Stegostoma tigrinum: one gene and its partner. The protein of the gene in region 2 purifies or fractionates together with the protein of the main gene of each other region. This does not show direct contact. Links are inferred from orthologs where the notes say so. Each region holds a gene or a part of one and is shown on either strand. Other genes may lie near its edges.

Region 1 (7,002 bases), on a different chromosome or scaffold from region 2:
AACTGATAATACAAACTTTGTTTAGTCAACTTAACTGAATTGATAAGTTTTAATTATTTTAGATTCCTTCTCATGTTATGGATAATGTCAATTACCTGGGGTTAATTTTCTGTTTTTCTTTCAGAAGCTATATCCTTTACACAGAGCTGTTGATCTAGTCCTAGTTTCTAATGAATAGATAGTAATAATTTTCTGTGTAGAGTTGAAGTTTTAAAAATCTTTTATTCCTCTTAAATACAGTTTGGATTTTCTCAGTGCTAATCTGCTAAATTGAATTAGGAGCATTAAAGCCTTCAAAAAATTACATGGAGAAAGCAAAGTAGCACAAAATAATAATTCAGAACAAATCCCTGATATAAATATTGATTTCTGCAGATATTGATGTTTTATATGAAAAAATTTATTGTCTATCAAAATCTTTTATTTAAACGAAAATTTTGGTTATGAATCCACTTACATGGCTTGCTACTGCAGAAACGCTACCAACGTCATCAAAGACCCATGACACACCGGTAATAATCTCCTACAACCTCCGCCATCAGGCAGAAGATACAGAAACCTGAACACACACACAAGCAGGTTCAAGAACAGGTTCATCCCAGCCATCATCAGACACATGAATGGAGTCTGTGTCTAAGTCTTTTTGATCTGTACATTCTTTGCTTACTATGATCTGCCCATACTGCTTGTAAACAAAGACTTTCACTGTATTTCGGTACATGTGACAATCAATCAAAACTAGTATGATTGATGTGAACACTGCCCACAGTGTATTTATCAGTGTTTTTAGTACACTCTTATCAGTTGATGGCTGCCTTGTTCAGTTCACTTTAAGGATGTGAGTGGAGTTCAAAGAAAAGTTGTTCACATCCAAATAAATTATATTAATGCCAAAAAGCAGTGGAACTAGCACCAAACCTTGCAGCACACCATTGGTTACAGGCCTCAAGTCTGGAAAAACCACCCTTGAAAATCAATTTCATATCTGTTTAGCTAGCCCCCTCAGATTCCATGTGATCTAACCCTGTTTACCGGTCTACCATGCAGAACCTTGTCAAATGCCTTGCCAAAGTCAAAAATGACAACAGCTACTGCTTTGTCTCCATGAATCTTCTTCATCACTTCTTCAAAAAACTCTATCAAGCTATGAGGCATGATTTCCCAGCACAGAGCCATGTTGACTATCATTAATCATTCCTTTCCTTTCCAAAACCATTTAAAAGTGCGTTGATAGTAAATATCTTGCTAAGGACAAGGAGGGGGGAGAAAAAAGAGAATAGTACATTTGTAATTTTTCTTAATCCTGATAAAAGGTGAGATGTGCAAAATTGACAGTTTCTCTTTTCACAAATGGCAGGTCAACCAAACGTTTCCAGCTTTTTCGGCTTTCTTTCTTAGTAATTTCATGTCCGTAGAGCTCGATGATGTAGACAGGGTTCTAAATTAATATTTTGTGTTAGTGATCATTTGTGAGGGACAATGTGGGTTTAGAAATCAAGGAGAAAGACTGTGATAAATGTAAATAAATTAGCATAGACTAGTAGCTCTGAGTAATCTGGCAGGCTTAAAAGTAGATAAATTTCCAGGGCTGGATGAAATGAATCCCAGGCTGTTGTGAGGAATGAAATGGGGGGTTGCTGGCAATAATTTTCAAGACTGGAGGGCAAACGAAGTGGTACTGTTTTTTTAAGAAGGGATCAAGCTATAAACCAACAAACTCCAGGCCAGTCAGTTAAACCTTAGTGTAGGGGAAACGATTGGAAGCAGTTCTGAGGGACAGCATTTAGAGAGGCATGGATTAAGCAAGAACAGTCAACAGGATTTTGTTAAGTGCCATGTCTGGCTAACTTGACTGAATTTTCAAATAAGTAACCAGGTGTGTAGAGAAGGGCAATGCTTTTTGTGTAGTTTTCTTAGACTTCAGCAAAGCTTCAGAGAAAATGATAGTGAAGGTAAGAGCACATGGGATTAAGGAAATATAGCTAATTGTAATCAGAATTGGCTGTGTGGCAGGAAGTGGAGTGTGATGGACAAGGGGTATTTTTGTATGTGTGTTCTGGAATCCACATTATTGCTAGGATGTCATGGGACTAAGTGTTGGCAGAGATTTACCAGAACATTGCCTGGGGTGGTGAGTTTTGGTCATGGGAAATGGGATGATCTGGGTTGTTTTCCTGGCCATAGAAGAGACAGAGGGTGGATATGATTGAGATATATAAAATTATGAGGGGCATCAAAAGGGTAGGCAGGAAGAGACTTTTCTCCTTGGTAGAGGGATCAATGACTAGGGTCACAATTTAAGGAAAGGGGCAGGATATTTTCAGGAAAAATGTTTTCACCCAGAGGGTGGCAGAAATATGAAAAATTTGGAGGGATATGGGTCAAACACGGAGCGAGACTAGTTTAGTTTGGGTAATGATCAGCATTGACTAGTTAGGGTGTTTCCAAGTCACATGACTTTGAATCTGGAGCCCGCAGCCTGTAAGGGTGGTGGAAGCAGAAACCCTCATAACATTGAAACAGCATATAGGCTTACACCTGCAATGCCAAAGATCAAGTGGTGGGAAATAGGTGTAGCATAGTTAAGTGGTTGATTTTGACTAGTACAGACTTGATTGGCTGAAGGTCCATTTTCTGCACCATAAACCTTCATGTTGGCCAAACAATGACATATTTGAGAGAGGCTTATTAAAAAAATAGGCTAAAACCACAAGGTAATTTATGGCTTGGTTAGTAACACATTTGTCCTTGGGTCAGAGGATACTGAGTTGAAGACATTTTCTAGGGATTTGAACACAATCCCTAAACAAAGGGGGCAGAATGATTGCTGATTCCACCCGGCCATACCCAAAAAAAAACACAAAATGCAACCTTAACCAGTACCAAGGAGGCATACACTCCCAGTATACTGATAAGAGTAGATGTACAATTGGAACTCATTTTTAAGACTTCTCTCATTTGCCCTCTGAAGAATAAAAGATTCCACTCCACTATTCAAAGCAATTAATTTATCTCTATCACAAAGCTGAATGTGGGAATTTGCGGTGCCCAACTAGATTAACTACACAAAATGCTAGATACCACGTTGGATTCAGAAAAACATTACACAGTTGCCCTTTGCAATTCGCTCGGACTTTAAAGAAAACGCTTAAAATTATGAAAATACGGACGCCCGGAAAAGTGCAAATAAGAGAAATTAAAAAACAGCTAAAAAAGGTGCCGGGACACATAGATTAATCTCTCCACCAGCAGAACAACCAACTGGCCAAGTTATTTTGAAAGTCTTTAAGAGATGAGATAGGACGGAGGTGGCAAGGTGCTCAGCTAAACCAAGGCCTACAGGGTGGAGTCAGGAAGGCACCCATGGGCGAACAAGACAAAAATCGGTGGCGCCGGCGGGAGATTCCATTACACAAATGAAGTCAACAATTCACATAACAGCGACATTTAGGCAACCATATGTACTTTCAATAGAACGTAAGGAGAAAAACCTAACAAATGAGGAGGCCCTAAAACCTCAGCCAGCCAGTAACAGGAAGCCTTAGCAGCAGGAACCGGAAGCAGCGCATTCACGCCATTCAAATCGCTCAAACGCCCGTCCTCTATACCGGTACCGTCAGCCGATAGACAGCACAACAACCAATTAGAAATGGAGCAGGAAACAAGGGCCGGATGTTATCCAATCGGAGCACAGCATGTGGGCGGGACATCCGCCAGTGCGTTGTCTCTGCTACCCTCCCTCCGCAAGGCGAGAAAAACCTCCGGTCCCGCGCAGTGATGGATAGTAACGCTAACCAATCGGAGGACAGGTTGTGTAAAGGGCCCGGCATCTTGACCAATGACTCTGCAGGGGTAGGTGGGACTTCCTGCAGTTTCGGCGAGTTTGCTTTCCTCCTCCCGGAGCGCTGCCGCCTGACGACCATCATCCTTTGCCGACACTATGGGCTTTTCTTCATATAAATAATCGGAGCCGCGACGGCGGCGGGCGGCGCTTTGGGGGTGGAAAGCGGCGGAGGAGGAGGCGTTGCGGGGACAGCTTGCGGCCCGAGATTGCGCGTTGGCGGCAGTGCTTGTGGTGCGGCTCCTGTCATGAGTCCGGCCGGGTGCTCCCATGTGAACAGTTTTAAGGCGGACAATTGGAAGCAGAGCCTGCGAGTAATTTACCAGTGCTTTGTGTGGAGTGGGACTGCGGAGAGCAGGAAAAGGAAGGTAAGGGCCGGGCTCGCCACGGATAGGGGACTCTCCAGCAAAGGCAGCCTCGCAAGACGGACCTCTCTCGTTTGAGGTGGTGAAGAGTCACTGACACTGCTACAGTAATGGATAAGAGCTACTGTACAAGGGAGGCTCTCACTGGGACCGTGAGGGGCACAGTTGTAAGGGGAGGGACAGAGGTGGAGTCGTCGCATGAACAGTGATGGGCAAAGATGCAGGTGGAGTCTCTCTGACAGTAAAAAAAAAGGTTGAATCATTTCAGAGGACTCAGTTATGAGGAGAAGCTAGGAAAAAAAGAGAAAGATGATGAATGCGACAGTGATACCTAATGATACTTAAATTTAGATGGTTAATCCTTAGCACTATTTGAAATTGGTTCATGACAAGGCTAGAAACTGATAAAGGTCAGTTTGGGACAGATGCCAGAAAGTTTTCTTTTTGTGTGCAGGGTGATTGTTCCCTGCAGTAGTCGTAAAACTAGTGTCTTTTAAGTATGGCCCTTTATAAAAGGGTGTCTAGGTGGGGCTTGTGGCCTCCCTTATTTTGTTTTTTTTTGAGACAGGTCATGCTAAATATGTCCAGCAAGATCAGGGACTTAATTAATGGTTCTCAGCACCGTTGTGGTCAGACAACTGACAGATACCCAGTGTAATAATACAAATTTGAGTTTTATTGGACTTGAAATGTTAACTTTACTTCTGTCTCCACAAATGCTGGTAGGCCTGCTGAGTTTGGTTTTTTCAGCATTTGCTTTTGAGACAAATTTTGTGCAGGAGCTCTGTGGGTTGATTTGCTTTGTTCTGATATGATGAGGGAAAGTGGCATTAAGCTTCTCAGGAATACACTGTGTCCTTTTAAAATGGCAAATGTTCCTGTTTTTGGCATGTTCATGTCAGTAAGCGAAAGATGTGTTCCCATGTTGAGGAAGTCCATTAATACTGGCATTTTGTGCCCTTGATAGATGTAATAAACTGTTGTGCAAATACTGTCCCTTTTTAATAGGGCAAACTGGCAGTAGTAGTGTTGTAAAGAATGTTATTATCTACTGTGGTGCTCTAGAATCCTAGTATTGTAGGAATCACCTTATGATCAGTTTGCCTCACCTTAACAGTGTAGTCTGCAGTACGATCTGGCCAGGTTGTACCAGTGTGTGAGATGTTAACAGGAGATGTTATCGAAAAACAGAATCTGCATTATGTGATTAAAGTAAGGGGTGCCTGCACTATTGGATTTCTTCAATATAAAGATACTGCTCATTTCTGGCAAGGAATAGGAAGGGGAGATAATCTATATGCAGGATGATCTCTTTCCAAGAGTGAGTTTGCCACACCACAAAGGTATACAAGCAAGGTTATTTTCTTGTTTGTCTACATGCTGTAATTTTAAGATTTACATGCATTTGGAGAGGCATGGACTGATTATGGATAGATGGCACGGTTTAGTCCAAGGAAAATCATATCTTTCAGACTTGATTTTTGACCTCATTTGAGGATGTAATCAAAAGAATAATAGATGTTGTTTACATAGACTTCAGTAAAGCCTTTGACAGGTTCCACATGGTAGATTAATTAGTGAGGTTAGGTCACATGGGATTCAGGGTGAGCTTGCCAATTGGATACGAAATTAGCTTGGTGGAAGGAGACAGGGTAGTCATACAAGGTTGTTTCTCAGACTGGAGGCCTGTTACTTAGTGTTCTAGAGGGATTGGTGCCGGGTCCACTTTTGCTATTGATATAAATGATTTGGATAAACATTTAGACTTTGCCAGTAAGCTTGCAGATATTCAAAATTGGTGGTATAGTGGACAACGAAGAAGGTTGTCTAAGATTCCAAAGAGATCTTTATCACTTGGGTTAATGGGGTGAGGATTGGCAGATAGTTTGATTTGTATAAATGTGAGCTATTACATTTTGGTAAAACAAGCAAGGGCAGGAGTTGCACTAATAATGATAGGGCCATGGGGAGTGTTTTGTAGAACAGAGACATGGGGATTTGAAATTTGTCACAGGTAGACAGGGAGGTAATGAAGGTGTTTAGTATGCCTGTCTTCATTGTTCAGACCATTTGAGTACAGGGCTTGGGATGTCCTGTTGAGGTTGTACAGGATATTGGTGAGGTCTCTTCTGAAGTGCTATATGCCGTTCTGGTCACCATACATATTATTAAATTGGAGGGGATTCAGAAAAGATTTACCAGGATGTTGTTGGGACTGGAAGGCTTGAGTTCTTAGGAGAGGCTGGATATTCTGGGACTTAGTTCATTGGAGAGGAGGAGTTTGAGGGATAACCTTGAGGGTTTATAAAATCATGAGAAGCATACATAAATTGAATAGCAAGGGTCTTTGCCTGCCATGAGGGAGTTCAAAACAAGGGGGCATACTTTTAAGGTGAGAGGAGAAAAGATTTTAAGAAGGACATGAGGGTCCACTCTTGTATACAGTGAGTGGCACATGTGTGGAATGAACTGCCAGAGGAAGTGATGAATGCAGATACAGTTACAACATTTTCAAAGACACTTGGACAGGTACATGAACATGAAAGGTTTGAAGAGATATTGGCCAAATGCAGACAAGTGCAGCTAGTTTTGTTAGGGGCAAAAATGATTGGCATTGACTAGTTGGACTGGAGATGACTTTGTCTCAATGCCATAGTTTCAGGAAGGGCACGCATCTGAATTGAACTTGTTTACTTTGTGGTAACAAATATATTACTTGTGCTAATCTGTCCTGATGCATTCCAAGAATGCACTGAAGGAAAACTATTTATAATTTGATACACGTATGTAACTCCT
Region 2 (7,881 bases):
ATAGCATTCACAATAAGAACTCAAATAATGCAAGATTAAAACATTTAGTAACCACCCACCAAGCCAGGTTCTGCTGTTACAAAAGTGTATACTCAACGCAGATGCTGTTTTCAACATCAAACAGGTATCAAAGCTGGTCTGACAACATCCGCTAAGCCATCATGACAAATTTAGACTCTGGGCGCTTGAAAGGCCATGAAGTCAGTAAGTTAAATCATATTTGATACCTGGTCCTGTGTTCAAAATGTTTGAAAGAAACCAGCAAGAGAACAAATAGTGATGAAGAAAAGAAAAAGGCTAAAAATGTTAGAATTATAAATGCACATTACACTGGGGAGAAGGTTTAAATAAAAGTAAATAATGACAATATGGACAGGAAGTCAACCCAAACATTTTTAAGTGCAACTTAAAATTGGTGCAAATGCTTCTTGTAGTCTACAAGCATTAGATTAATAAAACATTAGTTTTAATGGATACTTGTTCACCATAATGAATTCAAATTTAACCAGTAATAGGTAGGTAGCATTTTCCTATTAACAATCGAGATTAAATATAACAATGATGTTCAATTTAGAGTACAGTGGCCCAAGAGACTCCACTTATCGAAGCCCAAGAAAACAAGTCATTTCTCAGCATAAATAGTTGTCAAATTGAACAATAAAAACATGAAGTACAACATTTTTAACCTTGATATTAGACATTTTTTTAAAAAAGTTATTCGTTTGTCATTTATTAAAAAAAAATCACAATGACTTTCTAACCTAGAAAATCAATTTTTCCTGTTAACAACATCTCCCAACTATCAAATTAAAATTAAAGGGGAGTTTTTGTTGCATTAAAATGCCTTGTAGATCCATTAATCATGTTCCATGCCTACAAGTATGCACGGAAGTGATCATCATTACATGGTTTTACAGATTGAGTAAAATCGAGTTTCAAGTAAACCAGTATTGGATACATTTGCCTCAGAAACTGATAAATGTTGGCAGAAGGAATGAAATAGAAGTCCGTGTCAGCAAACACTCATCAAGTTTACAGAGTTCACTCTGAACAACGTTAAAACAGGTTTGTACCCGAACTCAAGAACACACTTATTGAATCAGTACAAGTTTTTCGATTTCCATCTCAACAGTGCAGCCTCAATGAAAGTCAGATTAGGGCTGAATTGTGAGCAGTTGCGTGCCATGATCTATTGTCCAAGGCACTAACTGAGAAGGACTATCTAAAATAATTCGGTTTGAAGATCTTTACAAACATCTTGCTTCAGCTAGATAGATTCAAACCAAAACACCAGTTCCTAAAATTTAAAAAATGTAGGTATTGTAACAAGATCAACACATCCATCTACAACATTTTTACTGAATTTTATTTAATACTTCAGCAGTATTCTAAAATTTAAATTAGAGCATTTGCACACTTAAGAATAGGAATGGAGGTCCAGTCCAGTTCCATTTCACAATCTGATTTAAACTGAAACTTAACTCTGCAACCAGTATACACATCAACATCTAAACTGCAGATGATCCAAGGTCTAACAAATAGAAGGTAAGGTGGGTAAATTTTAAGTATCAGTTTTTCCTCAATGGTCACTCCTGCCAGTTAGAATAGAGACTGTTAGCCACAATTTATGGATATTTTAAAGTTAGTTTACATGGCACAGTTCAAAATTTACAACTTTTCTATCTGAAGTTTAAAATTGGACTAAATACTAAGTTTCACGAAAACAAATCAGTGACAATTTAGTGACAAGGTATATTGCTCAGCTTGAGCACAGAGTCGGGCATAAATGAAACCAAAAATAGCTAACATTAACCTCTTGAAGTAAGCTAATATTGTGGTGATGAACTTCCGTAGAATCATCGAACATAGTGGAATACCAGATTATGTTGTATTACAGTACTATTCGTGATTTCAAGTTTGATTTGCTACAAAATATAATCTAGAACCACTCCCTCATTACCTGAGGAACAAGACAGTAACTGAACCCTAACACGTAGATTACGGAAAGCAACTTTTTAAAAAATTAAGTCTACGAAATCATTACGTGGGTGGGGGAAGGAGGAGGAGGAGGAGAAGGGAATGGGAACTTGGAACGTTTCGTTGGTTGACCTAGCTCCTACAAATATTTGGGTAAACCATGAGTTCTGAATACATCCATGTAACAGGCCCCCCTTTTGGTCTAGTTGCCAGTGCCTGCGAAGCAGAGTCACCAGCCCGCGGTTAGGAGCCTGTACAACAGGCAGGCAGAAGCAGGAACACTGCAAAGTTTGAAGCCACCACTCACCTTCCCGGCTCAGCCGCATCACCTCCCGGTTTTTCCCACACTCCTTAAAAGTTTCTTCCAATTCGGTGCCTGTGTAACAATTGGACACATCAGTCAGTCAGTCACTGAGTTACACTTGCCTGCCTTGCCTGCGCCAAGTCGGCGCTCAAACATCCCGGGCCCGCTCGTCGCTTCGCCGCTAAAAGTCTTTTCTAAGATTAAAGAGCGTTTTGGGCTCACCGTCCGCCCCGTGCTGTTTGGCGGCATCGATCCAGTGGGTCCAGGGCTGTCCCGCCAGCGCCTCCGGACTGGGTAGTCTCCTCTCCACAGTCGCCATTGCTGATCCTTCTTGCTGCCCGGCCGCGCTTCGGGCCGCGGTGACGTCAGCCTCGGCCGTTTCCGCCATCTTTTCGCTACATTCTGGCAGGAATTCACCCTCCCCTTTAACTGGAATCCCCTCCCCTTTAACAGGAAGCGCTGCTGGGACTGCAACATTGGGGCAAGTTTCTCTGGCCCTGCGGCCCACTCTGCCCCTTTAACAGACCGACAGACTTAACAAATGTACCGCCTCGCAGGAAACAGTTCCGGTTATAACCTATGAAATGAATTTCTTGCATAAATACTTAGAAGATTTTACTTGTTTGGTTTTTTCGCGGAGAACAGCAGGGTGAAGCTCTTTCGAAAAGCTACAGAGACTGAGTGGCTTCCTGTGTTGTATCATTCTAGAAACTCGTGGATGTGTTAAACACCACTGTGAGGATGCTTGCCAGAATGCTGTTGTCCACCAGAAATAGTGACTGTTGGTGCTTTCCCGCATTGATCAGAAAGGAAAAGCTGGGTAGTAGAGCTAGCTGAGATGTTCTTGCATTGAACCAGCGCAGAAATAATGGGCTGAATGGCCTGTTTGTATCGCAAGCATTTTGTGATGCTGTTGTCGGCCCTCTTGCTATTTGCTTCAGCACCATCATGACTGGCCGTGAGATGGAAAGAAAACAAAAGGCACAGAAACAATAACCTTACTGTTCACGAAGACTTGAAACCACCAACCCCAACTCCCACCCCGCCCCGCCAGCACCAAATAAAAGTGCAGGCGCCAATGTCAGGAGCAACAGCTAATATTCGAATAGGGCTGACATCAAACCCCTATCCAGATAAGGAAAGGTGAAACCTATATAATACATAAACCCAATCATTACTGACCCAACTGCAGTGGTGTCTGGCTTCGATAATCCTCGATGATAACGGGCAACACTCTACAGCATCTGCAAAGGGCTTGGTGATAAAGTCAGCTTCTCCTTTAATGCAGAACTGTCTGAAATGTAATGGTGGTCATAAACACAGACTATGGAACACATCAAATTACTCACTAAAACTAGTTGTGGGGGCTACCTCGTCTCTCCACTTGCAATCTCAGGCCATCGCATGGCCAACTAAACTCGATATCCCATGAGAAGCTATTCCTGTCATAGAAAAGGAGTCGTATTCTATAAACTTGCGTCTGGATTTCTTCTCACCTGCTACCCCCCCCCAGGGTATAACTGCAAATATGTTACCTGCATCGATTGAAAAGGCGTTTAAGGTTGCAGCTCAACGATTCTGGAAATTTATTGCATCATTGGTGTATTATTTATGTTTTCTTATTCCTTAAATAAACGGGTACGTCGAGGTGGTTTAGTTTAGATAATCACGATTACCACATAACTTTTAGGGGAATGGTGACGCGCAGTTCAGTGTTTTAAAATGACAGATTATCATTTCATCTACCCTCGATATCTGTGTGGTGCATCTGTATTTGGTGGCAGGTGCTGGCTTCTTTAACATAAACAGAGCAGCGTTGCACTTCCTAAACGGAGGACGTCAGGATCCAATCACCTACGCTGTAACCGCGCGTCACGGCCGGAGTTCCAGCCCAGTGAGAGAAGCTCCAAATCCGAACTTCTCTATCAGCAAAACAAACAGCTGGAGTGGTTGACACTTCAAGTGGTTGTTAGTTTGCAGATATTAACAGACATCTCCATTTGACGATTAGTAATACAGCTTATAAGGTGGATAATTCCCATCAGCACTAAAACGCACCTTTTTTGTGCCCCTAAATAAGATCAAAACACGTGTTTTCCTCTCAAGCTTTTTATAACATGATGCGGGCTTCCTCCCACAGTCGAAAGATTTGCAGGCTAGGTGGATCGGCCATGTTAAATTGCCCGTAGTGTTCAGGGGCATGTGGGTTATAGGGAGATGAGTTTGGGTGGGATGTTTCAAGGGGCGGTGTGGACTTGTTGGGCCGAAGGGCCTGTTTCCACACTGTAGGGATCTGATCTAATCTAATCTAATCATATGTAGTAAGTTAACTATTTTATATCTTCTTGTTAAGTTTGTTATTTGTAGTTCTGTTCATATAGAAAGTGTATGTCTAGGTCCCTGAATTAAAGCTGTATCCTCTCCTCTGACTGTTATTTACTGATTATTTGCTCAATTAAGCCCTAAAACGTATTCTGTCATTGAAGCATCATCAACATCATATAATGGACAAAAATTAAAATAATACTATTTTAAAATCAACATTAAAATTTAAATTACTTGCAAATAAAACCTTTAATGGAACTATTTCACACGAGAGTCTTTCCCTCAGAATTAATCTGAAAAAATATTCATATAAAAAAATTAGTAATGAGTTTATAAGTGGATGAAGGTACAGACCTAACTGGGAGACCAATCAGACCATTTAAGTTCACTGTTGATTTATAGTATATTCTTATCAAGAAAGTCATTGAGATAGATGATAAAACATGGCTCTAGCTGGAATATTTCTCGCCGAATTTGTGGAAAATCTGATGGAGAGAAAAATTATCATCTTTGAGTGCACACATTCCATCTCCACTCTTTCTCTCACCTCACATTTTATTCTCTATCCTTTCCCCTTTTTTTTGCATCCCAGCCCTCTTACCACCTTATACCCATTCCTTTTAAAATATACAACAGCTTTTAGCTCTTCCCCATTCAATATCTTCTTCCTTTTAGGTCTTCCACTGAACCTCTTCATCTCTCAATCTTTCCATCCCATTGTGAATTTACCCTTTCTTTATGCCCCTACCAATAAAATGCCTCATCTGAAAATACATCCCACCAATAGGTTCTCCTTAGCCCAGAGGGCCATTAAGCCATATGTCCTATGTGTCTCTGATAATCTGTGGATATTGCAGGAAATTGGAACTGAGGTAAAAAATCAGCCATGATCTGCTTTCATGGTGGAGAAGGCTCAGGGGGCCAAATAGCCTATTTCCTTTTCATTGTGTAGATCAGAGAAATGTAATGGAAATAGAAGCATGTTAGAATGTATGATTCAAAGTATGAATAAATTATTTCTGCAAAAGGAAGTATAATTATCTTCATTTCTTCACCCTACTTCACATAAAATGACATTTGTTTTAGTTAGTGTGTTGTGCAGTGATATATTAATTAATAATACACATAAAATGAATTATGTATGCAAAATGTTTAATTGGTACATCACAACATCCCATTTAAAATAATTGTCGTTAAGATGCTTTAAGGTTTAGGTTTATCTGTAATACCTGGTACACTTGCAAATTTTACATCGACGGACCTTTGTGATGTTAATGATCGATTATTTGATTGATTTATTGTCACGTGTACTGAAATACATTGAGAAGTTTTGTTCACAAGCAGTACAGGCAGATCACAACAAGCAAAGGATGTACAGATCAGGAAGATTTAGAGGCATACAGATTACATTATTTGAGGCAAAAGTCCATTTAACAGTCTGATAACGACCAGCTGTTCCTGAGCCTCCTCATGCGTGTGTTCAGGCTTCTCTATGTTCTGCCTGACGGAAGAGGTTGTAAGACACCATTGCTAGGGTGCAATAGGTCTTTGATGATATTGTCTGCCTTTCCGCGGCAGCAAGCCATGTAAATAGAGACAATGGCTGGAAAGTGGCTTCCATGGTAACCTGAGCTGTGCACACCACTTTCTGCTGTTTCTTACTGTCCTGAGTAGAGCAGTTGCCACACCAGGCCATTATGCACCTGTACAGTATGCTTTTGATGTGCATCTATACAAGTTAGTGAAGGATCTTATGGACAGGGCAGATTTCCTGAGCTGCCTGAGGAAGAAGAGGCATTGTTGCGCCTTCTTGACTGTCACATTTACGTGGGAAGTCCAGGACAGGTCATCAGTTATCGTCACTCCTAGGAACTTGATGCTCTTCACTCTCTCAACCTCAGTTCCATTGATGAAGATGGGGGCGTGTTCTCCCCTTTCTTTCTGAAGTTGATGATTAGTTCTTCAGTTTTACCAACATTGAGAGACAGATTGTTTTCATTGTAGCATGTCACCAAGCCCTCTATCTCCCTTCTGTATTTTCACACATCATTATTAGATATCCATCCCACTACAGTGGTGTCATCAGTGAACTTGTAGATGGTGTTCATTTGGAATTTGGCAACACAGTCGTAAGTATACAGGGAGAACAGTAGGGGGCTGAGGGCATATCTTTGGGGGGGCTCCAGTGTTGAGTGTTATTGTGAAGGAGGTGCAGTTACCTATCTTCACTGATTACAGTCTGTGGGTCAGAAAGCTGAAGATCCAGTTGCAGAGGGTAGAGCCAAGACCAAGGTCATGCAGTTTTGAGATCAGTCTGGAGGGGATAATGGTGTTGAAGGCAGAGCTGGAGCCAACGAGCAGGAGCCTGACATAGGTGTCTTTGTTATCTTATTGTTCTTTTAATGCATAGTTATTATATCTAGGAGTCTTAACATCCTAACTTCTAACATTATAGTTAACATTTAAAATTGAGTTTTGCATTCTGCATTCAGAGTACAGTCACCAGGGTTTCTATGGAGCAACCTACACTTCAGTCTCCAGTGGTATCAGCTGTGTTGGTCAACAGTGAAGATAAAGAGGAAATCAAAACTATAAATTTAAGCCAATTTTATTTGGCTTTGTACAAATCAACTAGAGAGTCTCACTTGGGCAGTTTACTTTCACACTTTCCATCATTCATCAAGTTCTGTGCCTCTGGATATTTCTTGTGGAAATTCTGATCTCCCCTCGTAAAACTGATTCCCAACAACTTCCTACCTAGCCTTACTATTTTATGCCTTCATAATGAAGCAGTTCTGCACCTTTTGAGCAATCCTTGGTAAGCTATATCCCTTCTGCTGAAACAGGTTCAAGGGGCTGAATGGCCTACTTCTGTTCCTATGTTCTCCAAGCTCTTGCAAGGCTTTTGTAGAAAATGGGTCTCAGTGCCTGAATGTATGCTGCTTCTCACAAGCATAAGTGAGCCACTTCATGTGCTTAATTAGCTTAATTTTGTTGCTAGTATAGCTATTAGCACACTCAAGAAAACAAAAGGAATATATTCAAGCCTTGTGCCTTTTTAAAATGATCCAAGAAATGGGGAAGCCTGTTTCTCCTTGATACTTTCTTTAATGGCAATACCTTGGCTAATCAGCATTCCTTATTCCCATCATGTAAATTGTTATCACAAACAAAAACAGAAATTGCCGGAAAAGCTCAGCATGTCTGGCAGCATTAATCAGAGTTAACGTATAGGGTCCAATGGTCCTTCCTCAGAACTGATGGCAGCTGGGAAA

Evidence for each region.
Region 1: the proteins of ataxin-7 (region 2) and usp22 purify together in Homo sapiens (affinity purification with western blotting; 7 studies listed by BioGRID and IntAct, with this or other methods). This does not show direct contact. The link is inferred for Stegostoma tigrinum from reciprocal best matches to the Homo sapiens genes ATXN7 and USP22.

Annotation. Positions count from the first base shown.
Region 1 is NC_081376.1:20,206,729-20,213,730, forward strand, and holds the start of usp22 (ubiquitin carboxyl-terminal hydrolase 22), read left to right. Parts: upstream 1-3,904; 5' UTR 3,905-4,089; coding exon 4,090-4,209; intron 4,210-7,002. UniProt on the Homo sapiens protein: Deubiquitinase that plays a role in several cellular processes including transcriptional regulation, cell cycle progression or innate immunity.
Region 2 is NC_081364.1:48,247,003-48,254,883, forward strand, and holds the start of ataxin-7, read right to left. Parts: upstream 3,077-7,881; 5' UTR 2,670-3,076; coding exon 2,504-2,669; intron 2,354-2,503; coding exon 2,285-2,353; intron 1-2,284. UniProt on the Homo sapiens protein: Acts as a component of the SAGA (aka STAGA) transcription coactivator-HAT complex. Mediates the interaction of SAGA complex with the CRX and is involved in CRX-dependent gene activation.